Tribolium castaneum: one gene and its partners. Each later gene encodes a partner of the first gene's protein in a complex. Links are inferred from orthologs where the notes say so. Each region holds a gene or a part of one and is shown in the gene's direction. Other genes may lie near its edges.

Region 1 (4,216 bases):
GTAGCCGAGGTCTTGGTCAAGTACCAAAGAACGGTTTCGTTGCCTAACTCGCTCGGTTGGGAGTTTTGGTTTTTGTCGGTCTCCGTTCTGGACAAATTGGCCGCATTGACTTTGTCCGAAACCAGCGAAAATATCAAAACTACAACCGAATACATCAATGCAATATTTAACTTTGACCAAACTTTGACAAAAGCTGCTCTCAACATCGGCGATTGTCCCGACAAACACCTCATTCAAGAATTTCTGAATCACCACAGCGCGCAGTTGTGCTTCCATTTCGTCACTTTGGTGTTTAAACAAGCACAAAAAGATCTTATTAAGTACAAGGAAGCCGCAAATATCACTCTACCGCTACTTTTCGCGGCTTATCACTCACAGCCACCCGATCTACAAAGCATGTGGTTCAACCACGCGCCTGAAAATCGCAGAAATTTGGTACGGAGGTGGCGAAAGGAAGCCGCGTTCAGGTGTTCACAAGCCGGGCATGTTTTACAAGCGGCTGCCAAAGACCGGAAGTCGATACTCATCGAGAAAGCCAACCAGTATTCAGTGGGCATGTGGCGAGAGCAATTGTTTAAAAAATTGTTCGTCACACGTGACCAACAACTGAAAATGAAAACAAGTTACTTTTTGAGCGACCAAAAACTACTAGAAATCACAATAAGGTTGCCGGAAAGTGGCGAATTGCTTAAATACGACGAAGAGGCACAGTTGATATTCCCCGACTCTTTACACCACCACATTTGGATCGCACTGAATAACAAACTATCCGATTTGAAATGCACAGTGTTCGAAGGTTTGCAATACTCGATCAAGAACCTGAAAAATTGCGGCGCCGAAACTCTGAACGTGTTGGACGTCCAGGCGTTTATTTACTGCGCCACCTTGTGTTCCAAATACAATCAGGAAAATCTGCGCCACATTTCGTACTACAATCTCGACAAACCTAACGTACTTCCGGCCGCCGTGACGCAAGAGTTGGGCACTCACAACCAAAATATTTTCTTCAAGGCGGCCTACAAAATGTACAAGAATGAATACGACTCCGGTTTGGATCAACTGAGACTGACTTTGGTGGACGGAATAAAAATTCTCCGGTGTGTGGATAACAGTTTAGACGTCAAGCTTCTAGTGACACTGGCACAGACATTCGCCGAACGGTCCAAAAACACGACAAAACAGTCCGAGATTGAGTTTAACGAGGCGCGAGCCGAGCTGTACTACAAAGCGGCGTTACCGATTTTGGAAAAAATGAAGAACAATCAAGCGGTTTCGTACCCCCCTAATAAACTGTTCAATTACAAGTCGAAAGACATGCCTTTGACTGAGATTTGTGCCCATATCGAGGCCGCGAAATTATTCAGCGGTTGCCAACTCATGAAGAAGAAGGAGAACGAAAAAGCGTTGCGCATTTTCGAAACTTTGAGAGACCCGTATGCGAGTTTTTACCAGGCTCAGATCTACAAACACATGGCTGATCAACAAACGAGTCAGAATCGGGAGAGTGTGACTTCGGAGATGCGCAGTCAGAATATAATCCTGCTCTCGCGTGCTAGGGATTGTCTCTACTTGACGCTGGATCGGCTTAGGGAACCGTCAGTCGATCAGAAGCACCCCTTAAACGAACAGTTGGGGACTGAGATTGAGAAAATCGAGCGCTTGTTGTCTAGAATTGACCCGGACTGTACCAACAGGAATGAGTGTGATGGGATGTCGGACGAAAACGTCTCATCGCCTGATAGCACCGGTGATCACTACGTAACGGGATACACTGGCAATACTTCAAGTTACTTTAACGGGGTTTTTACACCAAGGGCGGAAAATCACAATCATTCCACTCCTTACCGGTCCGATCTTTTCAAACGTGAGGCCAAACCGAGCCCTGAACGACTCGATGCCCAATTGAGACAGCTAACAGCGTCGAAAGACGCTGCCATTAACCATATTCTAGAACACAATAAAATGATGATGGAGTCGCACAAAACCCTAGTAGATGAGTTGAGAAGTTTCAAAGACGCTGTTAATAACCTCACGGTGACTGTCGATGAACTTAAGACGGTGAAACACAGTTACGAGGAGTTGAAAGACGTGAAAAAGTCGGTGAACGAATTGAAGGCGTCTGTGGACGAATTGGACAGTTTTAAGAACATCACCGACATGGTCTACGAAATGAAGAAGGAACTGACGGAGTTGAGGAAAGAAGTTAACAAGACTGGACAGTTAAGTGATGAGGATATCTATGGCTTGGCGAACGAATACGGTGCTGAGTACAACTTAAATTCGAACTTGGCGGCTTACAATTCGAATTTCTACCAGAACTATCAGGCGAGAATGCCCGGAACGTCGCTCTATGGCCCTCCGCCCTTATACCCGGGCATGTACCCGCCCATGGCGTACGCCTACGGCGGTCTAGGCTTGCCCCAGGGCGGTGCGTTGCCGTTCCCTCAGGAACAAATTCCGGGAATTTCCGGGCAGGACTTCCGCGCGATTTCCGCCGCCTTGTCACAAGTGCAACAACCTGCAGTAACCTACGGCCAAACTACACCCCAAACTGGCCTTAACCTACTCACGGCTCAGGCGCAAGGGATTTCCACCCCTAACCCATTATTTAAGACCACGCCAGCCACCAGTCAGAGTGTTTTCCCGACGATTGGAGGTGTTACCGTCACAACGACACCCACAACGAAAGCCCCTCCTGTGAATGTTGTTATTACAGCCTCTGATCCCTTGCCCACACCCAAGGTTACGACCACCCAACCCATCCTTTCAGTCACCATTCCGCCCCAACATTTGAAAGGCAACGTCCCCAAAAGCCAACCTCACAATTACCAAATTCCCCTCCCGACCACCACAGCCCCCAACACCTCGCCGTCAGTTTTGAGTAAACCACCGCCGGCCATTTCAACTCAGAGTATTTTGTCGAATGTCGCACCGCCGGTTTACTCCGCCGTGTCGGATAAAACCCCGGTCAATGTCAGTCTGGGCTTGCAAATCGAAAAAACCCTCGAACAGAGTTACAATGCGAGCAAGAACGAGTCGTTGAATAAGAGCAACGTTTCGACGAGTTCGCTTGAAGAACACGACCCGTGTCCCGATTTTAAGCCGATTATTCCGCTTCCGGACGAAGTTCCGGTTGTGACCGGCGAGGAAAACGATGTGGTGTTGTTCTGCGAACGCGCTAGGTTGTTCCGGTACGTCACCGAGACTAAGGAGTGGAAGGAACGCGGTGTGGGCACTTTGAAGATTTTGAAGAACCCGGAAACGAAGAAAGTTCGCATTTTGATGCGCAGAGATCAAGTGCATAAGATATGTGCCAATCATTTTATTACGAAAGAAATGGCGCTGACTCCGAATGCCAAGTGTGACAGGGCGTACATTTGGGCGGCGCACGATTACGCCGATGAAGAAGTCGTGTTGGAGAAGTTGTGTGTGAGGTTTAAGACGTCCGAAGAAGCGAAGAAGTTTTACGATGTGTTTGAAGCGGCCAAAAAGGGGTTAGACACCGAGGAAAGTAAAGAGGCGGCGCCAAAACCCGCCTCTCTTGGTGGTTTTGTTTTCACGAGCACGCCGACTTTTAAGCCCAAGGAGGAGAAAGTTGTCATACCTGTTATGAAAGAGGAGCCGGTTAAAGCTAGTCCTTTCTCGAACTTTGTGTTCGGTTCTACGAAAAACACGAGTTTTCCCACGTTCCAAACTAACTTTTCACCAGTTCAGAAACAAAGTGAAAGCCCAGGTGGCAAAGCTAAGGAACCGGTCGATGATGAGACTGAAGAGTTTGTTCCAACGGCTGAGTTCAAACCAGTCGTGCCTTTGCCCGAATTAGTCGAAGTCAAAACTGGCGAAGAAAATTGCGAAGTCTTGTTTGAGAGCCGAGCGAAAATCCTCCGTTTTGACACGAGTGAAGAAACGAAAGTATGGAAGGAGAAAGGAGTTGGTGTTTTCAAACTGCTTAAGGACGCAACAACCATCAGACTAGTCATGAGGCGAGACCAAGTCTTGAAAGTGTGTTGTAACCACCAACTACTCAAAAACATGGAATTTAAATTCATGACAAATAATCCCAAAGCACTGACTTGGTGCGCGAAAGACTTCTCTGAAGGCGTCCTTAAACCGGAAACGCTGGCTATAAGATTCAAAACAGAAGAGCTGGCTAATTCGTTCTTGAAAGCCATCCAAACCGCTCAAGAGTCACTCGATGAAAATAACTGCGTGTCGG
Region 2 (4,227 bases), on another chromosome or scaffold:
TTGCCTAAACAGCATGCTAGAGAATTAATCAATTGATCACAAATTAAACTGACGTTCAGTTTTTATCAATGGTCCCAAAACGTGTAATAATACGCGTTAAGTCATGTTATGCAACGAATTTGCATGCGGAATTTCGTGTTAATTAACGGGGAAACATGATCTTGGCTTTTTGCGTGTGCTATTTGCCTTGGCAGTGAGCTACAAAATTTTATAATTGTTTCGTTCTACAAAAGAATTTATTTACTCGCAGTTGAATAAAATGAAGTTACGACTACAAGGATGCGAACTGATTGACCCAGTTTGTTTAAATTTCTATCGTGTTGGACTGCTCCAGACTGCATGTCTAGTGCAAATTCTTATCAGACTTCAACAAATTGATTTTTATTGTGCTCTGAATCATCTAAAGAAGGCTCGATTTTTCATAGTTTATAAACGGAACGAAATCAACTAGTCCAAACCAACTTAATGCAATACGAGTTGATTAAGTGCACTACTATTGAACATTAAATGGAAAAATATTTACATAAAATATTTACAGAATTTAGATATGGATGTGAGCCCTCTGTTCGCCTAAAAATATTTTCAAGTTTCTAGCTTTACTCAGAAGAAAAATATGAGGAAATGAAGATGTGAACACAAATTTGCTTTATATTAATTTTTGAATTTTTTTACATAAACGTCTTTTTTACAGTGAAGGCTATTCCAAATCAAAAAAAAAACTTTCGGATTTAAATTCAGCTAAAAAAATTACATCAGAATCATATTTCAGTAAACGTGTCAATTCTGTTAAATAGTTCTTTATTTTTGATTCTTTTTTAAGTTGTTAATAATTACGTTGCATTTCTCAAACTATCATAATCATTAATCACACAGACATTCAAGATATAGAATATTGCTTTTTTATATTGTTTTATTTTAAAATTATAAAATGTAGATATAGAAAAAATAACTTTTTATGGTACATAATAAGGCATACTAAAAGTATTTAAAGCAAATTTGGAATTCTGTGTAATTATTTAGCTTGTCATGCAGTAAAAATATACTTTTGCTGGGACACCCTGTAAAATTTGTTTTTAAATTTTATAGATGAACATAAAAACCTTTTATATGCTTTTGTACGGTCATCATTTAAAACATAACTTGTTTGTAATTTAAACGTCGTCTACCTACTTATACTTATAAGTTTTTTTTTGTAAAATATGGTTTTGTTTTTTAAGTAGCACTATACAAACAAATACTTTTAAGTTCGTAATGTGTAGCTTTAGTTTCTAATAAACAGTACTTAATTTTTTTGTTTCATAAGGAGCTAAAAGTAAACTACAATTAACGTTTAAATTGCTTATTATACTGATTTATGGGTCTGGCACGTGAAGCATTATTAAAGTTTAAAATAGCAAAGAAGTAAATAATTTCTTTCCATAAATTCCATTACTAGGCGCTTTAAATTCATTATTGTTGAAGTTATTACTTTCCTGTGTAATGGATTTTTAAATTATGATTTATCCTTGACTAGAATAATAAAACGTTTTCACGACTGTGTTTATAATTTCCTAAAAATTTTTTAATAAAATCAAGTTGGATAAGTTCCCGGTCAAGTTGCATCAAGCTGTTCCTCGGAGCGCCATCTCTGTGTGGGAAGAAAACATGCGGCTTGCGAACTGGTCTACGAACAGTTTTCGTTTTTATGGCATTTTACTTCCAGGATTTGCATTAATTTAATCCCTATTATTAGTACTATGGGACATATAACACGAATTAAGCTCAAATATCTTAAATTTTGTTAGGTCACAGAAATTATTATTGATTTTACTTGTATGAATCGCACCGCTCCCTATCGGCCATTTTATCACCATTGCAAAGACTTGTTTATTTTCAAGCTTATTCAAACATTTTTTCGTCAAACTCGTAAGACATAATGTTCTTTGCGTAACGGAAGCAACAAATATAACACTTGTGCCTAAATCACGTGAGTAACAGTTCAATTTCATTTATAAATGAAGCGGTTTCGGTTAACTGACGCCCCTAACCTTAGTTTTTCAGCAAAATGACTTTTATGTCCGTTGCTCATTACCTACAACTTGTGGAAAGGTATTGGCGGTCTCAGGACGGTGCAAAAGTGGCCAGTTTTCTGTCTCTTCGCCACGAACATGCAGGTTATGCCAATTACCACATTGAGAGTCCTGAGGGAATAGTTGAGCGTTTTTTGACCGCCCCTATCGACGAATTAGTGATTTTGCACCTAAAATGCCTGTTTGCCATAAGCCAGAGTGACTATCTATCGGCTTATAACATTCAGAGCAATTTGACGCAAACTTTCACTAAGATCTTGCAATCGCAAAAGGAGGAGAATTGGTCTTTGCCTATTATGTATGTCTTGTGCTTAGACTTGCGTCTTTTGGCGCAATTAGCCGAGAATCAGAGGAGCGGAATTAATGAGAAGCCCGGCGAAATGCTCGAGAAGGCAGCAGAATGCTTGATGGGTTGTTTCAGGGTGTGTGCTGCTGATAATAGGTCAGCAGAGGAGGATACAAAGAGGATAGGGATGTTGGCTTTGGTGAATCAATTGTTTAAGGTTTATTTTCGGATAAATAAGCTACATTTGTGCAAGCCCTTAATCAGAGCGATTGAGTCATCACCGTTTAAAGAGAGTTTTTCTCTGAGCCAACAAATCACATATCGGTATTTTGTGGGGCGCAAGGCTATGTTTGATAGCGATTATAAAGTCGCCGATGAGTATTTAACTTATGCTTTTGAAAATTGTCACAAGCTCAGTAAGAAGAACAAAACGCTTATATTGATTTACTTAGTTCCTGTGAAAATGTTGTTGGGGTATATCCCAAGCAAGGAGGTTCTGGAGAAGTATGACGTCATCCAGTTGTGGGATTTAGTACAAGCTGTATGTCAGGGTAATCTCAAAGCGTTTGACGAGATTATGGAAAAGCACGAAACCTTTTTCATCAAGTGTGGAATATATCTGATTGTTGATAAACTGAAAATCATAGCATATAGAAATTTGTTTAAAAAGGTGTATTTGATTCTAAATACGCATCAAATCCCTATTGAAGCACTGCAGACTGCTTTAGTGTATTTAGGACAGACTGATGTTGATTTGGATGAAACAGAATGTATTGTTGCTAATCTTATTTATGAAGGGAAAATTAAAGGATACATTTCGCATCAACATAGGAAGGTTGTTGTTAGTAAACAGAATCCATTTCCGCCACTTACAAGTCTATCATAATTAAGTTTTTATAAGTTTGTATAATTCGTCGTTCTCTACCTGCATTGTAACTATTTTGTAATTGCATATGAAATAAACTGTTAAAACTACCCGTTTTTTGTGTTTTATTAAAGCATAAACGTAACGTCTATAAATCTCTATACTGCGAAGTGACTAAGCGACCCTGCTGTCATAAGAAAAAAGCTAAATGTTGTATGCATAATAAAAACCGCATTAAAAATGTTTATGGAATTTTTATTTTATTAAAAATTGCTTTTGTTATTCGAAGAGGTCACAACTACAGTTGTTTTTTTTTAAATTGCTCAGATTTAATCTCGATACGAATCGTTTTGAAAATCAATAATGCATATTAAATCACCTAATGATTATGCCCATATAGGTAAAAAATATTCGTTTAAGCTTTACATAATAGATACGAAGTTAATACCGAATACATCCTTTAAATGTACTGTAAATATTATATTACATATTGCGAAATTTTGCACAAAAGGATTTATTTTCCCATAGGTAACTTTGTTACCCGAAAATTAAACTCATACATTTTATATGGAAATTTTATCATAGTCAAAAACTATTTAGTTTTTTATTATAAATTATTTCCAAACAAAATGTCACTATTATATAGTTGTTAATCCATTCTATGATTAAATAATTTTTTTACAAATCAATATTTCCACAAAAATTTCATTTTACCTAATTTAATAATTCTTCTCAAAAAACGTATTTAATAAACGCCGGAAAATGCAATAAAATTTGTATTTCTGTATTGTTTAATTCATTTGAATATTAATTGCTAAAAAATTACGTTTTGTACTGACAGCTTGAAAATGCAAAATAATGTAATGATGTAATGATAAACTCAATTTATTTTTATTTGCTTTTTTAGTCCGATTTAGTGAAAACATGTTATTATAAAAACAAATATGGAATTCATGATAAATTTAATTTATTTAATTAATGAACTATATTTCTGTATTTGATTGGTC
Region 3 (4,924 bases), on another chromosome or scaffold:
TCCGTATTTTTGGTACGTTTACACTCTTTTTTATTCATAAAGTTGATCAATATTGTTTTCGACGAAACTGCAGCAACTTTAAATCGATAATTTTTGTCACAACCAAATAAACCAATAAAATTTTAGTTTTATCATTTTTAAAGTTACCGAATTTCGTAACTCGTGTAAAGATTGTAAGCAAAAAATAAACAATATACGAAACTATTTATAAATAATCTGGTGAAAAGAGAAAAAATCACAGACTAAAGACTAGCATGAACTAAACATTTAAATTCGTTGTCATTAATAAACATACAAAGGAAGTTCTCGAGTTTTGTAATTACAAAAAGAAAATTTCTTCTAAACTGAGTACTTCTGATAATTTTTTCCACCCCAATTTCATAATCAATTGCTTGAATCTAGGTTGAATATAAAATTGGTTGCTGTTTTCTTCAATAAATAATTACAGATTCCTGTTTGAAGTTGCCAGCTGATGGCATTAAACTCAGGGCCAACCTGTCTCAAATTCCCGCTGAGTACTTTAGGAAATTATCTTTTATTAGCAACACCTTTATTATCACATTGAGTTAAATTAATGATACAGTTACAACCAACAAATGAATCACGTAATTCCATAATAAATGAGTGACAGATTCTACATAGAGAGAAATTGACATATTGAGAGGCTCTGAAGCTCACACTTAAAATAACCTTGAAGACCTGTACAAATCATTAACTCCGTTCCGGACACGACGTCTGTGGCATCCTGCCTTTGGCCCCCACGCCGTCCGCCCCCAGGGCCGTGTGCACCACGATGCTGGGCTGGCCGGGGGAGGGGGGGTGCACCTCGTGCGACGCCCCCGGCGTGAGGGTGGCCAAAGCTGCAAGAAGGTCATGATTGATAATGGGCTCACCTTCCGGCCGGGGCTCCCAGTCGAGGGGGGGCGACGCCGGCGGCGAGATTAGGAACTGCTTGAAGGGGGCTGGCGGCTGCAGGCTGGGGTTTTTGACGGGGGTGACGGGTTGAGCAAAGTAACACGTAATCACTGAGTCGTTGATTTTGTATTGGTGGAGCTGAATGCGGGCGCTGGCGGCTGCCACGGGCGTCTGGAAGTTCACTCTCAGTCTTCGGAAACTGCGCAGCCACTGGAATGTCACGTCCGGGTCGAAGTTCCGGAACAGGTTCTCCATTTCGCGCTTTTTCTCTGCAATTTTACGGTCAGATCGGGTGAGGGCTGGGGGCGGATTACCGGGCGAGGTGAAGACACTGTCGTGGATGTTGGTGACGATGAGGGACGTCGGCAGGTCCTCGAACTCGTCGTCGGTCACATGCTCGGGGCTGTCGATGTCGGCCTCCGCCAGCAGGTTGGGGTGCACGTTGGGAAGGCCGTCTTGGTCGTTAATGATGATATCGTCGTCCATTTCGCCGTTGCTTTCAGCCATTGAAAAATTGGATTAAATTCACCGACACAGGATCTACCGCGGTTTAAACCCCATAAAACAATGCGCACTTTTTCGGCTAAACTAATCAAGGCTAACTCTTACGCTACTAAATTTTAACACAAAAACATTGCAATATCAAAGTGCAAAAAACACAACCCAACAATTGCAAATGCCAAATGTCAGGAATGAATGACACTTGACAAGGGGATGAAAGCCGAAAGTTCGCCAGCCCGAATTGAAATACAAAGGAATGAGCTTAAAAAAACGTAAAACCCTGAAATGGATAGATTTCCAGATAATTAACATAAACACATGAGCGACTTTTTGATTTCGTATTTTTTTGTACAGAAAACGCTGAAATTTTGTGAAATTGCCGGTGTATAACCTAGGTTTGAAGTTTGACAGTTCTGTCAATTCGTTAAGTTCAATTTGTGAATACATAAAAAATTGTAATTACTATTTTTATATAAATACTAACGTTAAATTTAATGCAGTTATGGCATTTTCGTTCGGAAATGCAAACCAGTCGACTTTTGGAAGCCCGGCAAATAAACGTAAGTTTTAGAACCGTAAGAAAGTTAGGTTAAGTTCTTTCTATTTTGTTATTTGGTATTCACGGTTTTATTTATTTTCCCTTTAAACCGTAATTAATGAGATTTAATTTTGCCCAAAACGCCTGACTAATGTTTGTGTTCTTAATTTTTAACCAGAAAAAATCGAAAAAGTGGCAGCGTTTTGTACCATTCAGACTCAACAATACAAATCACCACACTTTTTACAGATAAAATGTTAATTGGTGTTTTAAATGGTTATAAAATTTAATTGTGATGATTGTTAACGTGTGAGTAACAATTCAACAATTTTTGTTTGAAACAAATCGCTAAAAAATGTTTTGTTTAGTGTTTAACTTAAATTTTTTGTCACGTCTGTGCTGCACAGTACACAAAAGTAATTTCATTACTTAACTGATAAAACATGAAAAACTGGACGTGTTCAATAAAAAACCTAGATTATAATTTATAAACCAAGAATTTATTTCGGCAATAACATTTTGAGGATATAAATAAACCTACCTAAGCGAGTAACAAAAATATAATGATAGTAAAATATAACAGATTATCACAAATATAATTAATACGATTTCATTCTTCCGTTTGAGATGGTAACTTGGCTCAAATCGGTTGCACAATCAAGCGATCCTGAACGGCTGGCTTTATATCGCTTATAAACGACGATAAGAATGACGATAATTAAGAGCAGACTGACGATTATAACTCCCAAAACAACGTACAAAGTTTTTCCCTCAACGTCGTATCCTTCGTAATATATTTGGTTCGAAACATCCGTAGTTGAAGAAAATACGTCAAGTGGGGTTGAAGTTGTATTTTGTGTACTGTTTTTTATTTCGGCCACTGCTGAAGTGATGTTGTTTTCAAAAATACCGATTGTTTCGGTCGTACTGTCGGTCACTTCGGTTATCACGGTGGTAATCGTTGTTGTAATATTTTGAGAAATCTCAGGAGTGGTAGCAGTTTCTGCAGTAACCGTACTGTTGGTTATTTCGCTGATGAGGGTAGTAGCTGGGGGAGTGAAACTCTGCCCAATTTTGAGTACGTTTTGATCGTCTGTGACTTGAAGGGTCGTTCCAAAACTTTTAGTAGCCCCTTTGATAGGAAATGAGAATAGCTAGAATCGGAATTTTTAAATCCAACTTGAAAAATAAAAATTAAACTCACCGTAGGGCCCGACATTGTGCTTTTTATTAGCGAAGGAAAAACACTTAACTCTGCAAGAACTTATCGGCGACTGAAAGTTTCTTTCCACGCTTTGAATTTTTATCGCTGGTGTTTATATGTGCGAACACGGTTTTCCTGCTTTCCTTCCATTCGCAGTAAAATAACAACCCGGGGATGAGTCACAAAATGCTGTTTAATGCAATTTCTTGTGGTTGGGATAAATAAAATCCGTCATTTTGTGATAACAAATTGGGAAAGCGGCACTGCAGTCGAAAAAAACTTGTTTTGAAATTATCTACGTGTTTAAATTCTTTTTAAAAAATTTGACTGGAATGACACTTGAAGGATTGAAATAATTTCATTTATTTCGTGTTTATTTCGTTTTTGCATAAATTTAAGTCTTAACAACAGCGTATTTTTTGCACGATAAGTATTCGCATAGTTCAAGTTTGACTTGCATTTTTTACCGAGGAGTAGTTTCCGTTTGGTCATTTCCCCGTAACAAATACTTTTTTCATGGAAATTCTTTTCTTTTCGTTGAAACAACCCAAATAGAAAAATAAATAATTTCAGGATTGTGGTTTCGTAGCCATTTCCTTTGGAAAACTACAAATTTCGCTGAATTTATTCAATTTATTCGATTTTTCCTGAATTAAAACGCACACTTCTTATCGTCTTAGATTATTTATTAATTTTTGTAAACACCTAGTCATAGTTTTATGTTTTTCCAATGTTTATCCACAGCCACCGCATTCGGTACCCCATTTGGGGTAACCACCACCACGGCTAGTACCGGCTTCGGCAGTTTCGGCTCTTCCTTCGGAGCCACTTCGCAGCCGTCGACCGGTTTCGGCTCAACTTTCGGAGCCCCAGCTCAATCTTCAGGTTTCGGTAGTACTTTCGGTACTCCTGCAACTTCCACTCCAGCATTTGGTTCGACTTTCGGAGCCCCAGCATCAACCTCAGCCCCGACATTCGGTACCGGCTTCGGTCAATCGACCGGCGGCGGCCTTTTCGGTACTTCCACAACCAAACCAACCCTTTTCGGAACTCCCACCACTTCAACCTCGTTATTTTCGACCCCTAGTTCGGCCCCCAGTTTATTCGGGAGCGGTACCACCACACAAGCCCCAAGTCTTTTCGGGGGGGTCACCACCTCGACTCCTAGTTTATTCGGAGCTGGCAGTACCCCAGCTCCGAGTTTGTTCGGTACTGCGACAACTTCGGCCCCGAGTTTATTCGGGACTTCGTTCGGGGGCACGGCCACCACTTCGGGGGGGCTGTTTGGGGGGAGTACAACAGGGGGAGGGTTTGGTTTATTCGGGGGTACTACTACGACGAGTGCGCCGTCGTTGTTTGGGGGGTTTGGGGCTACGCAAACAACAGGGGGGTTTGGGGGTTTTGGGACTAGTGGAGGGTTCGGTCAACAGACACAAGGGAGTTTGTTTGGGGGCGGGTTTGGGGCCAAGCCGGCACAACCTCCAGGTAAGTACCCGACTAGCAATTACAGGAACCTGTAATTTTTGTGTAGGGTTTGCGCAAAATGCGCTCACAACACAGCAACAACAAAACCAACTTGTGATCCAATCGATTTACGCTATTAATATTTATAATGATGAGAGGGATGATATTTTGAAAAAGTGGAATTTGTTGCAAGCTTGTTGGGGTACGGGGAAAGGGTACTACAGTGCGAATCAACCGCCGGTTGAATACACAGTTCATAACCCGTTTTATCGGTTCAAAGCAGTCGGTTATAACATAATTCC
Region 4 (3,368 bases), about 2.3 Mb from region 1:
TTTGAGTTCAAGACGGCCATCGTTTAACGCATCGACTTTCGGCTCGCCGAACTTTATTGACAGAACATTGTCTACCAAGAGAATATTGAGCTCACCTTTCTATAGCGGCAATACAATTTATGGCGGCGCCTCTGCATACGGACGTAGGTTAGGTAAAATTAGCGAAGAAACGAATTCTAGAGTCTCTGTACAAATAAAACCCGTAAACGAAAAACCTCCAAGCGAAAATGCGACCTTAAGTAAGACCGCACGTAGAATTCTGAGCACTTTAGAACAATACAGCACTCCAATAAGCGACGCTAAAAAAATACCAGTCACGCCGAGAAGACCAGGATTGCTGTCGTCTTATGTCGGGGCAACTCCTTATCTAGTGAGAGACCGGAAACGGCCTTCGAATAAGGAGCTCCAAGTACCGTCCGTTCCTGATTTATTGCAGATGAAGCAAAAGGAGCGACTACAAAATAGCACAGAGACTGTTAGACAAATTGCCACAAAGTCGAAGTCGTCGCTGAATAAGGAAGAGTATAAAATCAGGACGGAGGAGGACAACAAGCAGAAACATAGCAATAAAATGAAGAGCAGCGTGGCCTCGGTGCGGCAAAAAGTGCCACCTATTGAGCCAGTCAGTGAGGTGAAATTGCCGAAAGTTTCACTCCCAATAAGCACCTTACCTAAGTTCGATTTCGTTTTAATGCCACCCAGCAATTCAAGCGAAACCACCAAGAATCAAAACGAAACTAAAACTCCCAAATCCCCGGTTAGTACTGTAATTAAACCCACGGTGATTGTAGATAAAAAAGAGACTGAGAAGAAAATCGTGGAAAATGGAAAGTCCAGTTTCACATTTTCCGAACCGTTAGTGATTTCAAAAGACTTAAAGTCTGTAACTGCGATCAATTGTTTCAAATTCAGCGAACCGGTATGTAAGAAACAATCAACGCACACAGGACTCATGTTTAAATCGGCCGAAAGCAAGAGCGAAATTAAACCAAAAAACAACGGCGAAAATGTCCCAAGTATCGCAAAACCGGCTAGTCAATTATCAACAGGAAGCGTAATGGATGTGCTGAAAAAGCCGCCGTCACAAAGATGGGAATGTCCGACTTGTCTCGTCCGAAACGACATCGACAAAGACAAATGTTGTGCCTGTGATGAGCCCAAACCTCAGCCCGAAAAGAAGGAAACGAAAGGGTTTGGCGAACAATTTAAAATGTCGAGTGACAAGTGGGAATGCAACTCGTGCATGGTGCGGAATAACAATTCGGATAAAACTTGCGTGGCTTGTGGCTCTTCCAAAGCAGGAGAAGACAAACCGGTGGCTAAATCCGGATTTGGAGATGCCTTCAAACCGCCTGCATCGACCTGGGAGTGCACGTCTTGTCTAATTAGGAATAAGAACGAACTGGAGAGTTGTGCAGCCTGTGGTGCATCCAAGACGCCCAGTGGTAGTTTTGGAGACAAGTTCAAGCCATCGGGAGACACCTGGGAGTGTGCTACTTGCATGATTAGAAACAAAAATACGGTGGATAAATGTGCGGCTTGTGAGACCCCTAAACCAGGTGCCAAGCCTACGAGTGTGAAACCCATGACAGCACCGATATTCTCCTTCGGTATCAAACAAGAGTGGGAGTGCAAAACATGCCTGATTAAGAATAAGAACGAACTGACGCAGTGTGCAGCCTGTGAGATGCCCAGAGAGAGTGAAACGGAGAAAAAAGGTTTTGGAGACGCTTTCAAGATGAAAGGAGGAGAATGGGAGTGTTCTTCGTGTCTTGTCAAGAATAAACCCACAGATAATGTTTGTGTTTGTTGTGGAGTTGCCAAATCTGGTGGGAAATCCTCGGATGTGACGACCGGGGAAAAGAAACCTTTAATTGGGTTCAACTTCGGTATAGATAAATCAAACGCACCCCAATTCAAGTTTGGTATACCGAGCACTAGTAGCGAACTAAAAGCTAGTACTACAAGTGCGCCACCTACATTTGCATTCGGCGATGCTGCGAAGTCGACTGCAGTAACAAGTAGTAGTTTTAGTTTCGGAATAAATACTCAGGAAAAAGTTACGCCAACAAATACTGTTACCTCAAGTGAGAACGTGACCGTCGCCAGTAATCCCTTACTTAAACCTAGCGAGAAATTGCCGGAGAAAGCAACGCCTGCGCCGGTTGGTTTCAAATTTGGCCTTGATAAGACTCAGGAGTCTGTAGTGACGAGTAGTAGTGATAGTACTAATAAAACGGAAACGCCGACTACTACGAGCAGTTTCGGAACGAAACCGGCTCCCATGTTCCAGTTCAAACCCCCGGCTGTGAACGGCGATATCAAGTTTGGTAGCGAAAATAAGGACAAACCGGTGTTGGCCACCGAACCGGTTAAGGAGAGTCCTTTCAGTGCCGAACCGAAGAATCAAGACTCACCTTTCGGGAGTAAGACGCAAAGTTCCCCATTTGCTACCGCCGCTAGCAAGCCCCAAGAGTCACCCTTTGGTACCCCCAGCAAGCCAACCGAATCACCCTTTGTCAGTAACAAACCTGCAGATCTCCCATTCGGAAGTGCAAGTAAACCGAGCGACTCACCGTTCGGCAGCGCCAGTAAGCCGAAAGACTCACTTTTCGGCAACGTGAACAAACCCTCAAGTTCTCTCTTCGGCAACACCGATGCCAACAAACCAAAAGAATCAATTTTCGGAAGCACCACCGAACCGAATAAACCCCAAGCCGGGTTATTCACCACTGTGGACACAAACAAGCCGCAAGAAACCCTCTTTGGAGGCGACGCCAACAAACCGAAGGAGGTGCTATTCGGCACCAAACCCACCGAAAGCAGTAACATATTCGCGGGTCCCTCAGCAACACCCACTTTCACTTTCACGCCAAAACCCCCCGAGAGCGCCCCGAGTCTGCCATCGGCGGCCCCAGCAGCCGGCATTTTCAAATTCGGTGGTGCCACCGCCTCGCCAAACCAACTTTCGACCAAGCGGGCTTTCGACGAGCCCGCTGACAATAACGTAACCAATGGCTTCGGTTCGGTTCCGAAAATTCCAGCCTTTGGGGCGTCCCAGAGCTTCGGGACGAGCGAAAGCAAGCCGTTTGCGTTCGAAAGTGCCCCCAAAAATGCGGGTTTTTCGTTCGGTCAGGCCGAGAAACCGAATACGACGCCCGTTTTCAATTTTGGGAGTGCAGCAGCAGGGGCGTCAAGTGCGCCAAATACAGGGTTTAGCTTCTCGGTGCCTAGTGCCGGGTTTAACTTTGGTGGTGCGCCCAAAGTGGAGAGTCAGCCGTTTAATGCCGGGGGGAGTGTTTTCGGGACGGCGGGACCAGCGGCCAAGAATGGGAGTTTCAATTTTGGGACAAATGCGAATAATAACA
Region 5 (4,656 bases), on another chromosome or scaffold:
ACTCGAGCTTAATTAATTAATATGACGCATGATACTTGTGCTCTATTTATTTTTCTGTGTACCTATGTACTTACAGTTTTTGTATTTAGATGAATATAAAGTTGTTAAAACCACTTGTCTTTTAAATAAATTAACCAATCATGAAAAAAAAACCAAAAAAAAGTTTAAATTCGGAAAATTGGAAACAAGATTTTTTTAATTGTTTTATTTTTGTAAAAAGCACGCGTCAGCGGTTGCTCGCGTTAAACGCGCATTTTTCTCATTCGTTTATCGATTAAGAATTTGTAGCAAATTGAGTCATAACATAAGTGAATTTCCTCGAAAAGTGCGCGGATTTTCGTTGACCGATGACGAATCGGTCATTTTTATGCAGCCCCCAATTCATCGCGTCAACAAAATGGGTTCCGCGAGTTTATATTTTTCTGCACATATTGCACTTGTTCCTTTTCATTAAAATGTTGGTTTGAAGAGAAATAGAAGGTCGCGTGACGTTCTAGCGTCTGTATAAATAATCCGCAGTGCACACTTCAAAAGGTCAATTTCCAGGATTGGTCATGAAAATTACAAGTTTCCTCGTTGTTGCAGGTGAGATTTTTGTTTGTAGGTCATGGTTGGCTTGGAAAATGTGACACATGGGTTCGTTTGTTTTGACCCAAGCCCACTCGAAATTACGCAATATTTGACCGAAACTTTTCAGGGCTTGTTTTGGCGAGTGTGGCGGGCCAGCAGGGGAACTCCTCTGACAAAATCTCCAGGTTTATCTATGATAGGTGTCGGGTTTATAGCACAGACGCTTCGGCTTACGATGATATAAAGACCCATTTGGGGCAATTTGGCGATTATCTTTCGTACGCTGCGAGTTTATTGCCCAATGGTAAGGAGCAGTTCTGCAACGACGAAAGGCCCACACTGGCCCGTCTAGCCGCCCAGCTTGCCCATGATGTCAAACCGTGTTTGCCCAAAGACGAGAAGTATTTGCCCAAGTTCATGGTTGAAAGCTTCACCTCATTTCTCGACTTTGTGTGTTCCCAAAGAACCATCGAAAGTAAGATTTAAAATTTTGAAAACTATTTTTTATCAAGGAAAATACAGATTTCTTCAGTACCCAAGGGGCAGATTGCCGCCAAAACTTGAAACTCAACCAAGAGGGGCAACAAGTTGGAAACTGCTTTACTAAACTATTCGCTCGGTTTAGCGACGTGGTCCGGAAAGACGACCTGTGCCTGTAGGTGCCCCCATGATTACAAACCCAACTTTTTCATCTTTCTTCTGATTCTAGTGACTTAAAAGCGTCCAAGAAGTGCTTCAGTGAGGCGATAGCCCGTAGTTGTCCCGATTTCGCCGCTTTTGAGTCGTTAAACAACCGATTTTTCCAAGCAATTCGCAAACCCTGTAACTCAGCTATTTCCATTGGCTTCAGCAGCGTTCTACTCCTCCTAGCATCATTCACTTCAACCAAGCTATTCTCATAGTTATTATATTATCCCTCCACGTATTATAAATGTTATTTTTGTTATAAATGTACGATAAATAAATAAATAAGTAGAATTTTGTCTTATTTTCTGACCCCGCGCCCTCTGGTGGCGAGTTAACCTGAGTTTGAAAATTATCTAACCGCCACTCGCCGACCTTGATTTTTTGTTTCCGTAAACCTAACCTAACTTTTGCACAAAAAACCGTTAAAACGGGCTAAAACCATGCAAGAAATCGCGTTGGGGTACCGGGAGGTGATCCCCGACCAGACGGTGTCCGATCCCTGGCGCGAAATCACCCTCAACACGGGTAATATCACAAAAATCGCCGATTACGTAAAACTGAGGTTATGTAACAGGGGGGACACAAGGGACGCTTCAAGATATCAAAGTCGCGGAAAGGGCCAACGGGTTTTGTTACCGCGACTCGACCAGACACCACACCAGGAATCGGTTTATCTACTGGAGGATTAGCCACGATGTCCTGGAGCTCGTGGAGCACAGTCTCGATATAAATCTCGCCGGAAATCGCATCAGATACAAATTTGTGGACACCCCGATTTTGGACGGGGTTTCCATCCATGAGACGTACGATAATGTGGTGGTTCTGGTGCCCACGGTGTGCAGCGTCCATAGGTTGGTGTTTCCGCATCCGGATAAGTACCACCGGCAGGACCATGTCGCGGGGGTTCACCCAGATCTGGCGGCGCCGTCGGTGTTCAGCGAAGCTACGGCCAACGAGGCGAGGGATCCCGCCACATTCCACTTTTTCACCAATTCGAGTAGGTCTTGTAATTTTTTAAGTCACGAGCCGGAGACGAGTGTCGTAACGAGCAAATCATAATTTTTTTTAAATAGGTTTGCCAAATGGCAAAATTAGATACGTTTGCATGATTATTTAAAATATTGGACTTCTCATGACTAGATGAACCCTTATTTAAAGGTTCTCAGCTGCCATATCTGGCCGCCTCTTCCCTGACCCTCGCTGAGGAGGAAGCAATTTTCGTGTTGGCCTACCACTCCGGCGAGATCCTCCTTCTGAGACAGTCCCCCGAGGGCAAAATCGACTCAGCTGAGCTAAAAAGCGAGTCAATCGTGCCCCGCTTTCTCTCAGGTCTCGCCGACAAGCTGCGGTACAACCCTTCATTTTTTCCGGCCCGGAAAACTGACGGTTTTTTTGCAGCCAAAAAGACAAAGAAGGCGACACTACCGTCAGCCTCATTTTACATACTTTCGGTCTTGAAACTTTCGCTTTGACACTTTGCCGCAACGGTCATTTGAAATTCTGGTCGTGCTCAAAGGCCGAATGTGTCTCAGTGATCGACGTCATGGCCGAAACCGGCGCCAGAAACCAGCTGCAAGGCGCTCAGAACCACATCCTGCGGAAAGCCGTCGATGGGTTTGATTCTGAGTGTCTGTTGGGTATTTTCATGAGTTTCGCAGCCAAGAGTCAGTTGCATGTGTTCAAGCCGATGCTCAGTGGCTCGCAGGTTCGGCTAGTGAGGCTTAATATACTTGATTTGGCTCAGGTGAGTCGTAGGTGGGATAAGTGATAGGGGGTAAGTTTGGGGTTTTAGACCGATTTGATCGATTTTACGATCTCGACAAGTCGGATTTGGTCGGTTTGGCGCGGAAAAGAGGGCCAATGTGAGGTGTATTCGGCCTCGAACCAGGCGGGGAGTCACTGGATTCCCGTGGTTCTGGAAAATGTGCCAGACGCCAGCCAACCGTTGAGCATCGACGGGGAGACGGATCCCAGGCAGAGCTACCTCCAGCACATCTTCCACCCGGGCAGGTTCCCCTTGCATATAATCAGCAAGGCTTTGAACGTAAGTTTTCAAGTCAAGCTGATTTTTTTACTGTATTTTTCGAAAATGTGCCATTTGTTTTTCTCTAAACCTCTTAGTTTCTTATTTGGTTGAGGCACAATTAATGTGACTCCTGGCGACCCGACAAAATAACAAATTGTTGCTTTTCAAACCTTTTATTTAAAAAATATACATAAAAATTATTGCGCGTTTTTTGTCACACCAACTGCTTATTATAGATTTACAAACGCTCGGCCGTCATCAGCGACTTGAACCTCTCGGCGGCCCATCTCAAGCAGCAGATCTGCATGGCCGTCGAAGACGAGGTCCAAAACGAGCTGAAGGAAACCGTCGTCAGCGACGAAGATTATCTCGAAACCGCCAGCTACTGCTGGCAACAATTCTACTCCTGTTGCGTCCAATACCACGTCGCTGGACTTAAACCTTTAGGCCTCCTTGTTCTTCCAAACTCCTCCGGGGCCGTACTTTTGAAAAAATCCATGATTTCGTTTTTGCGACCTCTCGATATTTTTGAACATTTCATCTACGAAAGCGACCACATGTTTAGGGACCAATTCACCAAATATTTCCTCTTGTCTGAGAGTAATTAAACCGCACAGTTAATTAATCAATTGTGATTGGTTCATTTTTTGCAGATGTTGATATCACAGACGACGTGATCAGTTTGTTCAAGGTCATTAATTATTTGGATTCGCAGATGAGTGAGATTTTCGCGTACACGTTCGAACGAGAGTTGGCACTGCTGAAGTCGCCTGATGTCGTCATGGGGGCTCTCCTTGAGCAGATCCAGCGCGAGATGGACACCGAGGTTCGTACTTTTTTTATGTTAAAAAAATATTCTGGGGCTTTTGAGCCCTAAAAAACGTTTTACAATTTATTATCTGGTACTTTTACCGTGGCGCCTGGCGAACCATTCTTATATTTATATCACAGAAAATTTTAATGACAGCTGCTTCTGTTGATATCTGCTCAAATCATTTACGGAAAACTCTTGAAGAATTTTAAAATTATTTAAAGCACTGCAATTTATTGTAGTTTTTGAGCTTTCGCGTATTTTTTCGATCTCGCGTAAATAGTTAAGCAAAAACCGCCCGATTTGTGCTCTAGTTCACCGAGCACGTGGCCGAGATGGTGCGCGATTGCACCGATTTGTACCAATCCATCCACAAAATCCTCGAATTGCTCCGAATCGAGTACCAAATCCAGCCAGAGGAGCCCATCGACAGCGTTCAAGCCTCAATAAACCACATTTTCACCTCGCAGTTGGGTGTTTCGATGGTTACAGGATGTCTCCGACAGCAGATCCAAGTCCGGTTCACTATCTGTCGCAGTCTTTTGCTTATTAGTAACATTTT
Region 6 (4,880 bases), on another chromosome or scaffold:
GAGCTGCACCTTCGTACGTAATATTTCCCTTGAAAATCACCCTTTTTGCACAACATGTAATTCTCCCTTACAGGGACCCTCTAACTCAACTCTATTCAGTGACCTACATGTACTACTCTCTCATCGGATGCTTCATTTCCATACTCATCGGTTGGACAGTATCCTATTTCACGGGTAGCGAAAGCGATTTGTACGATCAAGAATTAATTCATCCCATCGCTCGCAAGATGGCCAACTTTTTCCCTGGCAAAAAACGACGCTACGCAGAGAAAACCATCAAACATAAAACACGGAGAAATGAATCGATGAACCATTCGCCAAGTGCCACCAGTATGGATAAAAAGAGCGGAAATGCGAATCCCGCTTTCACTCAAGACGTACAAATGGAAGTGTACAGAACCAAATTATGATTTTTCTTTCTTCCTAGAGATGGATGTGAGAAATGGACACGGACTCGTGTTTTTAGTGCCTTTTATTTGGCAACATCTGTGATCTCTAGCTGATAAGATACAAGTGTTCGATTGTTGAATTATGCAAAGACTACTTAACTATTTTTATACCTTATTACATTGTTATTATTGAATAAGATTGTACAACTTGATACGCGTACGTGTTGAAATATTTATTTTCTTTTGTAAGCTTAGACTAGTGCTAACAACGAGTATTTATTACAACATTTTAGTACAATAATATTTAATTAATAATAAGCGTAGTGTTTGTTCAAAGAGTTTAAGCTACCAACGAAAATATAATATAAATAAAAAAAATTTTGTGGATTTTTGCCTCCTTTAAATGCCTACAACCGAAGTTATTGACAAAAAAAAACGCTCCAAGTACTGAAAAGTCGCCCAATATTTCCAGAATCTTAAGTCAATGAATTTCCGAAAATACAAATACATACCACTAATGTGCAGTAATCTAATTTTTGTTGAAAAGCGTACAATTTACCTCACTTTGTGCTTAAAATGTACTTTTCCTAACCACAAATGAATTGACAAATATTTGGAAAGTGATGTTTTTTACAAGTTTTCAAGAAAACTTGCTTTTTCACCAATTTCCAAAAATAATGCCCACAATAATGTGCAATAATCTAATATTTTGTTGAAAAACATGCAAGTTACCTTACTTTGTGCTTGAAACTTCCAAATTAACACTGAACTTCTAAACTAACACTTAACACTTCATTCTTCCAAATCCTGATTGTCACAGTAACTGAATTTAGGAATATCCGGGGAAAAACTGGTGTTTTTTTTCCACAATTTATAAAAAAAACGTAATTAAGGTAACTTTTTCACAAATTTTTCATAAATGTAGACAAAAAAGATCCGGGCACACACGAGAGACGCGATAATGGAAAAAGTGTTGCCAACCAAATTCACTGAATTTCCGAAAATAGTACCAATAATGTGCTATAATGTTAAATTTTGTTAAAAAAACATGCACCTTACCTTACTTTGTCACTGGAATCACCAAATTATGTAAAAATTACACTTAACACTAAGTAACATCATTTTTCCAAATTCAGTATTCACACATGATTTACAAATTTTTGAAAAAAACCGGTGTTTCCTACCACAATTTATAAATTGAACTTAATTAAGTTACGTAATTCAACACTTTTTTCACCAATTTTCCTTCAATTTGAACAAAAAACACGATAAACACAAACAGACGCGATAATTTGAAACAAATGACGATCGAGGAAAAGAAAAACTGTTACCAACCTGAATCTAGGGACTTTGCAACGCTCTGAGGCAACGCTAGACTTGTTTTTTGAGGTTATGCAACGGCTTTTTGTGTGTGTTTTTTATTAAAAATGGATAATGATTTGGAACGGTCGGTGCGTCTTCTCGAAGACGCTCTCCAGACCCCCACAAAAGGGCTATTTAAGGTCTCGACCGCAACTCCAAAGCGTGAAAAACCTAACCTCAGCTTTACAATAAACCCCGAAGACTTAACCGGCCTGGAATATGGAAGTGTTTATCAAAACACCTTGTCTTTATTTGTCGATGATGACAAAACGGTCACCGGGTCGGTGATCCAAGCAGGAACTCCATGGAAAAACACTGTTAATAATTTATATACAGAGTTTGCGGATATCCTGCAGGGGTCCACCGGAGGCCTTGATATCCTGGACGTGGCCGAAGACTTGGCGAGGTGTTGTAGTGACGCTTTGGCGGTGGTTAAGTCACTGAAAGCCAAAGTGGCCACTAGTGAATTAGCCGAAGAGAAATGGCTCGAAAATGAGCGGAATAATTGGAGACTGCTGTATGTCCTGTACCAGGATCGGATCCAGGCCCAGAACCACAGTAAGGAAGGGTTTGAGGAGGATTTCGGGAGCAGTGAAAAGAACTGTGTGTGCGAACTGTTCAAACGAGAGAATTTGGTTAGGGAAAGCCAGTTGGTGATCGATTGGCTCGAGAGGAACGCTCTGGAGAAGGGGGACCCCATTTTAATGCACTCAGACTGGACGTATGGATGGGAACACACTTTGCATCAATTGCTAGCACCTGATGCTATTGCAATTGGGAGTAATGTGGATATTATCAAGAACATACATCCAGATGCGCCACAGTTTCAGCGCTTATCGCTGCACCACTTGGATTACGACAATGACAAAAAACTATGTCAGAGAATTTTTATGGAAATTAGGTGCGGCAACCTTGAGGGCGCCCAGGAAGTTTGTGCTGTTTTCAGCCTTTTATTATTTATTCAATAATTAAATTTCAGTTATGTTACAACAGTGGTTATCCATGGCGCGCTGCGATGTTAGAAGGCTGGAAGCTTTTTCATAATCCCAACCTGGAAACAAGTCTTGAAGAGTATAAAGACGTAGAAGGGAACCAAAGGCGGGATTTGTGGAAATCTTGCGCATTAGATTATTGTCATAGGGTAAGTTTTTCGTTCCACAGCCTCTTTGACAGTTCGGGAACTTCGCTATCTTTTTTTTTGATACCATTGTTACTAGATAAACCGATGTCACTTTGGCAGTTGTAAAACATGTATTTATTTTATGTTTATTTATTTAAAATTTCTGGAAAATAATTAACCAAATTTAGGACTGAAGACGAAGTTTCGTATCTATCAAGGAGGCTGTTTTATAAATTTGAAAAAACTACTAAAAAATTTCAGTCAAACTTGAACATTTATGAAAAAGCCGCCATTGGTAGTCTTTGTGGTTTCTTGGAGGGCATTTTGCCCGTTTGTACCACATGGGAGGACCACCTGTGGGCCTACATGCGAACCATGGTCGATATTCGTGTTGAATCGGAAATTCGCGACTCAATCATTAAAAACTACATACCACTACCTGAAGAATATTGGGAACAAAAGAAATCATTAAGTGAAATTTTTACAATTTTGGAAGCCTCGAAAAATATTGACATTGCAAAAGAAGCGCATGAAATTGATCATGTAATTCAGAAACTTGTCATTTTAGACGAAATTCCCACACTGATACGCCTCCTAGATCAGTGGAGTGAAGATCTAAGTGTTACGACACAATCTCTTCGATTTTATGCTCACTTAGTTTTGTTTTTTGAAAGCGTCGGAGACTCCACTCATAGAAAAACGTGTGAAAAAATCGTCGAAACGTAAGTTTTCTTGGTTGTATAACTCGACTTAAGGCCGGGCGCTTTAGTCTCCCGGTATGGTGACTATAAAAAAATTTGTGTCTAGTGTATTTTATGTTCTTAATGTTGACCATAATCTCGTCAGAACTAAATTATTGCTTTTAATATTTTTACCACTTTTTTATAGCTACGGTATTATTTTTTGTTTTATTTGACTTCGAGCTTCTATAAAAAAACATAAAGTGTTTGCTACTCACCGCTGCGTTGCTTGTGTTTTAATATCATTTGTTTAATTAGATATATCGAGCGTTTGAGCGAAATGAACGAAACCCAGCTTGTGGCCTTCTACGTGAGCAAGCTGGGAAAATCCAAACAAATCCAACTTTACGCCAAACACTGCGAAAAACTGCTTTCGACTGAGCAACGCAAAAACGCCCTTACTTACGCTGAAGATTTCAGTTTGGACGTATTTGCTATAACGCAACAAATCGTCGAAATTATAACAAGCCGACCGTCTGAATCCGAACTTCCCGGTAATCTCCAAGGTAAAATCACCGAAATCGACGAACTCAAAATCTCCGCTATTGATTGGCTGATGTTTTACGAGGAGCAACGAGCCGAAGCATTGGCTCAAACCAATTCTATTATTTTCAAATTTCTGATTTTGGGCAAATTAGAAGCAGCCCAATTGGCAATCAATAAAATTCCTTACGATTCTATAGAGAAGATACGCAGCGAAGAGCAGATTCATCAGATTGTTAAGAATTATTTGAGTTATAAAGCGTATTTGGATGCACATGAGGCGTTTAACGAGTGGTTTAGACAGTATAGGAATAAGCCGATGCCACCACCTGAACTGCCCGAAAATGCACAATTTACTGAAAAAGTTGCTCATAATCATAAAGTCTCGCAGTTTAATGCCGAAGCGGAACGGTGGAAATTGACGACATCGCATTCAGCAAAAAGGGCCAAAACTTTATTATATAATGTCCTTTTGTTTCCTGAAGGGTGGCTTGAAGGAGGAGACGATGCTGAGTATCTGCGATCAATTTGTATTCCTCAGATTGTTTTACTATTGTATTCGGTTTTAAATGAGTCTGGACTGCACGAAGAAGCGGTGCAGTTGGCCGATTTAGTGGCGGCCAAGAAATACGGACTTTACAAGGTAAGTGAGAAATGTTATTAATTAAAATATAAGAGTAAGTAACAAAAATAATGTAAACATTTTTTTAAACAATATATTTATATAAAAAAATAAACTAACGTTGGACACAACGAATTGCTTAAATCAATGACTTACCCGAATGT
Region 7 (4,336 bases), on another chromosome or scaffold:
TACAGATTCCGACGATGGAGATGATTTTCCAAACCATGGTGAAACAAAACGCAATTTTGCAAAAACAAGTAAGGCAGTTGATTGACTTGTAGGTTTCGTTAATTATTTCGTTCGTAGAGTTATATTTTGAAAGATATAGCCAGTAGGATTAAAAAAAAGTCGCGATCGGCCGTTGGTCCTTCTCTCCTTGTTCCTTTTGATGATGTTAAAGACCTGTCCGAGGATTTGAAACGTTTGAGGATGAACCCTGAAGACATCAGCCAACTTCAGTATGAACACGTCATAAATCGAACGAAAAATTTCACGAAAAAGAAAGTCCAAGATTTGCGGACTTTTCTCCAAAAAAGAGAATATCCACATATTTCATTCGTGAAGCCTCAATTGGCCAGTTCCGTAATCCAAACTCCGCCAAAACAACTTAGTCGGCTTCCCGAAAAAACTTCAGTTGCACCTCGGGTTCTCGATTTTGCGCAGTCAACTCCCAAACCCACTGTGCTCAAATTCGACTCCACGGCAACTCCAATCGAAGGTTTACAAAATTTAGCCCTTAAATTCGAGGCTAAAAATTTCACAAATTTGCCCGAGAAAACTTTCACGCCTTTGACTAAAAACGTGATTGCTGGGTCTCCAAATTCGGCTTTTGTCTCAACTTCGGTTTCTGCATCAGCAAATACTTACAAACCCACCTTCATGGCTGCAACTACAGCCGTGACAGCGTCTATTATTAAAACAAGTCCCAGTTTTGTGGCAGTGACTAGTACTGCAACCATGCAAGCACCTAAATCGTTTGTTAATTTGTCTTCCCAACCAGTTACTAGCAGTACCCCAAAGGTGGGGACAAACCTCTTTGCCACATCTTTGCCTAAAACTACATTTTCGTTCAGTTTACAAACTACTAGTGCGGCGCCCATTTTAACAAGTAGTGCAGCGACTACCAAACCCAGTACGTCTATTTCTGTTTTTAATCTATCCACGAGTGTTAGTACTACCGCGGAAAGTACGATTTTTACGAAAACTTCTACTCCGTCATTTGGTATTGCTACCACCACAGCACCAACCTCCACCCAGTTTTCGTTCGGTGGCGCTACTAATACTTCAAGTATTTTCGGTGCAGCAACACAAAAAGTGACCGAAGCTGCGACATCGAAAACCTTTACGTTTTCTACAAAGCCAGTAGTTACTTCTGCAACAAGTACTCCAAATGTGGTGGTTTCTGCCGTTTCCCCCGTTGCTAGCAGTACCCAACGTTCAATTTTCCCTACGACTTCTGTAACAACCAGTCCTAAAACAACGCAAGCTGTCTCGAGTCCAGTCTCAATCCAACCCACTTTTGGTGTAACAGCTCCAAATTCAGTTAGTACTACCAGTGGCACTCCATCAACTCAGTCCTCACCGTTTTCATTGGGGGCACTTAAATCATCTATTTTTCCCTCACCGGCTGTTCCTGCCGTAACTACAACACCGAAAATCGCCACCAGTGCGGCCACTGTTGTTACTACAGCTGTTACAACTACCGGTGTTACAGCTCCTGTTGTTACAACAGTCCCATCTTCAACTAGTATTTTCTCAACGCCAGCAACAACTCCATCAATTTTCGCTTCGCCAGCAACAACTTCAACAATTTTCTCTTCGCCAGCAACAACGTCATCAATTTTCTCTTCGCCAGCAACAACTTCATCAATTTTCTCTTCGCCAGCGACAACTTCATCAATTTTCGGCTCTATTGTTAGTAGTACTACTCAGTCTCCAACCATATCTTCAGCTCCGCCCACAACTGGGTTTTTCGGTGGTGCTCTTTCAACTAAACCACTCTTTGGTGGTACCGAAGTTAGCGCCTCGAAACCGTCAATATTTAGCAGCACAACTGCATCAAGTGTTTTTGGGGCTGTTGCAACCACGGATTCAAACGTTTCGAAACCATCCATCTTCGGAGCCCTGCCATCATCCTCCACTACAGCTTCTGTCTTTGGTACTGTTGCAAGTACCGATAGTAATGTATCAAAGCCGTCAATTTTTGGCAATGTTTCGTCAAGTACTTCACCAGCGACTGTTTTTGGCGCTACCACACCTACCACTCAGATTTTTGGTGGTGCTACCCCTTTGTCTACTAGTTCATTTGGGGCTGCAGCTACGACACAATCGTCAATTTTCGGCTCTCCCACTACCCCAGTTTTTGGAACTCCTGTTGGTACCACTCAGTCGACTTTTGCCAGTCCTACAACGACAACTCAATCTCAAGGGTTCGGTCTTTTTGGAGACGCCGCCCAAAAGCCTTCCCTATTTAATGCAAAACCAAATGCGACTCAACCGTCAATATTCGGAAGCACACAGCCGTCGATATTTGGTGGTACCACAACTTCTTCAACGTTCGGCCAAAGCCAGCCCTTCGATGGGAGCAAAAATACAAGCGCTTTTGGTCAAGGTTCTGTTTTTGGTTCGTCAGGTAGTACGAACGTTTTCGGGGGTTCAGCACCCGCTTTTGGCCAAACGGGTGGTTCCGTCTTTGGAAATGCACCAACTACGAGCTCTGGGAGCATTTTTGGGGCAACGACTACAAGCGGAGGTACTTTCGGTACTAGTGGATCTTTATTCGGAGCACCTGCGTCCACTGCCCCCTCACTTTTTGGGGCACCTGCATCTACGACTCCCTCTATTTTCGGTTCGTCGAATGTCTTCGCCCCTGCCACTACTCAGTCCGGTACTTTCGGCACCAATACCAGTTCCGGAACGTTCGGTTTCGGAAGTCTCAATGTTTCAACGACTGCAAGTTCGGGTTTCGGTGCACCTGCGAACCCCTTCGGGGGCGATAAGAGCGTTTTCGGAGCCTCTCCAGTGTCGTCAAGTGGCTCAGTTTTCGGTTCCAGTGGTGGATCGCTCTTCAGTAACACGTCCCAGAGTTTTGGTACCGGTTTCGGGAACCAATCTTCCTTCGGCCAACAGTCGTCCTTCTTCGGGGGTAGCAGTTTCGGTCAGCAACCTGCGGGGCCCTTCAGTGGTGGGAGTGGAACTGTGGGACAAACCGGGTTTGGGGCAGGTCAGAGCTTCCAAAAACCGGGATTTGGGGCAGCTCCCGTTTTCGGGGGATCGCCCAGTTTCGGGAGTTCGCCTAGTTTTGGAGGAGCGCCGGCGTTTGGCAGCCCACCGGCTTTTGGGAATACTTCAAAGGTGTTTGGGTCCTCAAGCCCCGGGTTTGGGGCAGCTGCTAGTACCCAGAACACAGCTTTTGGTAATTTAGCCAATCAACCAACAGTAGGGTTTGGGAATTTGGCACAGCAAGCTGCCAACGCCCCAGCGCAGAGTGCGCCGTTCTCTGGGTAAGAATTTTTAAACTGATAAATGGCATAGTACATTTTTTTTTGTAGGAGCTCCTCATTCTCCAGTTGGCGTTAATGAAGGAAAATGTTTTACGTTAAATTTTGTAAGCTGAAACTAATAAATTTTTTTAAAATTAATTTTATTTTTCACTTAAAACACATAATTATTTCTGAAAATGTGTACACTATTGTCGCACCCTCCAGAGACCAGATACTTGTTATTGGACCAATCTACAGCTAGGACTTGCCCTTGGTGTCCCTCTAAATTATAAAGTGGGGCTTTAGGGCTTCTGGAATCCCACAATTTGACACCAGAATCGTATCCTCCCGACATAAAAAGGTGTTCATCGTATTTTGACCATTCAATTGAACTGACCCATAGCGTATGTGAGGTGAAAGTAGTCTTGACCACTGAACCCTCTGAAGACCTTGGGTCGTACAACCGAATATGTCTATCAGCTGAACATGCTAATAATGTGTTAGATAGGGAAGACCAAGAAGAATCCAAAAATGCCTTCTGGCCAACTATTTCATTCTTGATACCACACAACTCAGCATCCCAAAATTTAATCGTATGGTCCATTGACACAGTGCAAATTACATGGTTGTCAATCCAGGAAGTCGAAGTTATGGTTTCTTTATGGCCTTTTAATGTGTGAATGGGGGTCCTGGTAATCAGATTTTTGTCTCCTCTTACTTTTTTGTGTGCAGGTTCGTCGTCACTTTCAAACGATGAGGACCAAATCTTTAGGTTTGTGTCCCATCCTCCTGTTGCAATTTTAAGACAGTTGGGACTAACCCCCACACTGTCTATCCCTTTTTCATGACCTTTTAACACAACTTGAGGTTTTATCTGATCTGTCCCAGGCTCCCACTGCCACAGCAGTCCCGTAAGATCATGAGAAACACTTATGAAACCTTGTGAGGGATTGGTTTGGTTTATCCATGCCACTTTTTTTACAATATTTTTATGTTCTTTTTGCGATGTAACAAGTTTTCCATGCGTTGTCCATATGTTCACA

The links.
Region 2: E3 SUMO-protein ligase RanBP2 (region 1) and PCID2 share a complex: the UniProt entries of both Drosophila melanogaster proteins name them as parts of the nuclear pore complex. The link is inferred for Tribolium castaneum from reciprocal best matches to the Drosophila melanogaster genes Nup358 and PCID2.
Region 3: E3 SUMO-protein ligase RanBP2 (region 1) and Nup54 share a complex: the UniProt entries of both Drosophila melanogaster proteins name them as parts of the nuclear pore complex. The link is inferred for Tribolium castaneum from reciprocal best matches to the Drosophila melanogaster genes Nup358 and Nup54.
Region 4: E3 SUMO-protein ligase RanBP2 (region 1) and Nup153 share a complex: the UniProt entries of both Drosophila melanogaster proteins name them as parts of the nuclear pore complex. The link is inferred for Tribolium castaneum from reciprocal best matches to the Drosophila melanogaster genes Nup358 and Nup153.
Region 5: E3 SUMO-protein ligase RanBP2 (region 1) and Nup160 share a complex: the UniProt entries of both Drosophila melanogaster proteins name them as parts of the nuclear pore complex. The link is inferred for Tribolium castaneum from reciprocal best matches to the Drosophila melanogaster genes Nup358 and Nup160.
Region 6: E3 SUMO-protein ligase RanBP2 (region 1) and Nup107 share a complex: the UniProt entries of both Drosophila melanogaster proteins name them as parts of the nuclear pore complex. The link is inferred for Tribolium castaneum from reciprocal best matches to the Drosophila melanogaster genes Nup358 and Nup107.
Region 7: E3 SUMO-protein ligase RanBP2 (region 1) and Nup214 share a complex: the UniProt entries of both Drosophila melanogaster proteins name them as parts of the nuclear pore complex. The link is inferred for Tribolium castaneum from reciprocal best matches to the Drosophila melanogaster genes Nup358 and Nup214.

The regions. Positions count from the first base shown.
Region 1 is NC_087394.1:28,914,592-28,918,807, forward strand, and holds part of E3 SUMO-protein ligase RanBP2, read left to right. Parts: coding exon 1-4,216. UniProt on the Drosophila melanogaster protein: E3 SUMO-protein ligase. Component of the nuclear pore complex (NPC), a complex required for trafficking across the nuclear envelope.
Region 2 is NC_087397.1:8,459,591-8,463,817, reverse strand, and holds PCID2 (PCI domain-containing protein 2), read left to right. Parts: upstream 1-1,811; 5' UTR 1,812-1,966; intron 1,967-2,032; 5' UTR 2,033-2,044; coding exon 2,045-3,241; 3' UTR 3,242-3,330; downstream 3,331-4,227. UniProt on the Drosophila melanogaster protein: Required for the export of nuclear mRNAs and involved in mRNA trafficking in the cytoplasm.
Region 3 is NC_087397.1:2,066,619-2,071,542, reverse strand, and holds the start of Nup54 (probable nucleoporin Nup54), read left to right. Parts: upstream 1-1,818; 5' UTR 1,819-1,918; coding exon 1,919-1,976; intron 1,977-2,432; exon of another isoform or gene 2,433-3,108; intron 3,109-3,158; exon of another isoform or gene 3,159-3,902; coding exon 3,903-4,643; intron 4,644-4,689; coding exon 4,690-4,924. Other genes in the region: sra (protein sarah), read right to left, coding at 712-1,184, 1,230-1,422. UniProt on the Drosophila melanogaster protein: Component of the nuclear pore complex (NPC), a complex required for the trafficking across the nuclear envelope. Essential for the nuclear import of nuclear localization signal (NLS)-containing proteins in an importin alpha/importin beta-dependent manner.
Region 4 is NC_087394.1:31,194,645-31,198,012, reverse strand, and holds part of Nup153 (nuclear pore complex protein Nup153), read left to right. Parts: coding exon 1-3,368. UniProt on the Drosophila melanogaster protein: Component of the nuclear pore complex (NPC), a complex required for the trafficking across the nuclear envelope. Functions as a scaffolding element in the nuclear phase of the NPC.
Region 5 is NC_087395.1:25,113,755-25,118,410, reverse strand, and holds the start of Nup160 (nuclear pore complex protein Nup160 homolog), read left to right. Parts: upstream 1-1,601; 5' UTR 1,602-1,697; coding exon 1,698-1,782; intron 1,783-1,831; coding exon 1,832-2,254; intron 2,255-2,415; coding exon 2,416-2,605; intron 2,606-2,655; coding exon 2,656-3,001; intron 3,002-3,049; coding exon 3,050-3,301; intron 3,302-3,519; coding exon 3,520-3,883; intron 3,884-3,936; coding exon 3,937-4,109; intron 4,110-4,408; coding exon 4,409-4,656. Other genes in the region: uncharacterized protein LOC103314347, read left to right, coding at 1-12; uncharacterized protein LOC655733, read left to right, coding at 555-585, 698-1,045, 1,093-1,225, 1,280-1,472. UniProt on the Drosophila melanogaster protein: Functions as a component of the nuclear pore complex (NPC). Involved in poly(A)+ RNA transport. Required for nuclear import of Mad. May play a role in double strand break DNA repair. Essential for nephrocyte development.
Region 6 is NC_087395.1:26,509,576-26,514,455, forward strand, and holds the start of Nup107 (nuclear pore complex protein Nup107), read left to right. Parts: upstream 1-1,726; 5' UTR 1,727-1,816; coding exon 1,817-2,680; intron 2,681-2,730; coding exon 2,731-2,892; intron 2,893-3,132; coding exon 3,133-3,593; intron 3,594-3,869; coding exon 3,870-4,737; intron 4,738-4,880. Other genes in the region: sodium-coupled monocarboxylate transporter 1, read left to right, coding at 1-13, 74-410. UniProt on the Drosophila melanogaster protein: Plays a role in nuclear pore complex (NPC) assembly and maintenance. Required for nuclear import of Mad. Mediates the association between the nuclear pore complex and a subset of active chromatin regions adjacent to lamin-associated domains.
Region 7 is NC_087398.1:6,200,952-6,205,287, reverse strand, and holds the end of Nup214 (nuclear pore complex protein Nup214), read left to right. Parts: coding exon 1-68; intron 69-117; coding exon 118-3,314; intron 3,315-3,362; coding exon 3,363-3,390; 3' UTR 3,391-3,452; downstream 3,453-4,336. Other genes in the region: ribosome biogenesis protein WDR12 homolog, read right to left, coding at 3,466-4,336. UniProt on the Drosophila melanogaster protein: Part of the nuclear pore complex. Serves as a docking site in the receptor-mediated import of substrates across the nuclear pore complex including emb, RanGAP and phosphorylated Mad. Protects mbo/Nup88 from proteasomal degradation at the nuclear pore.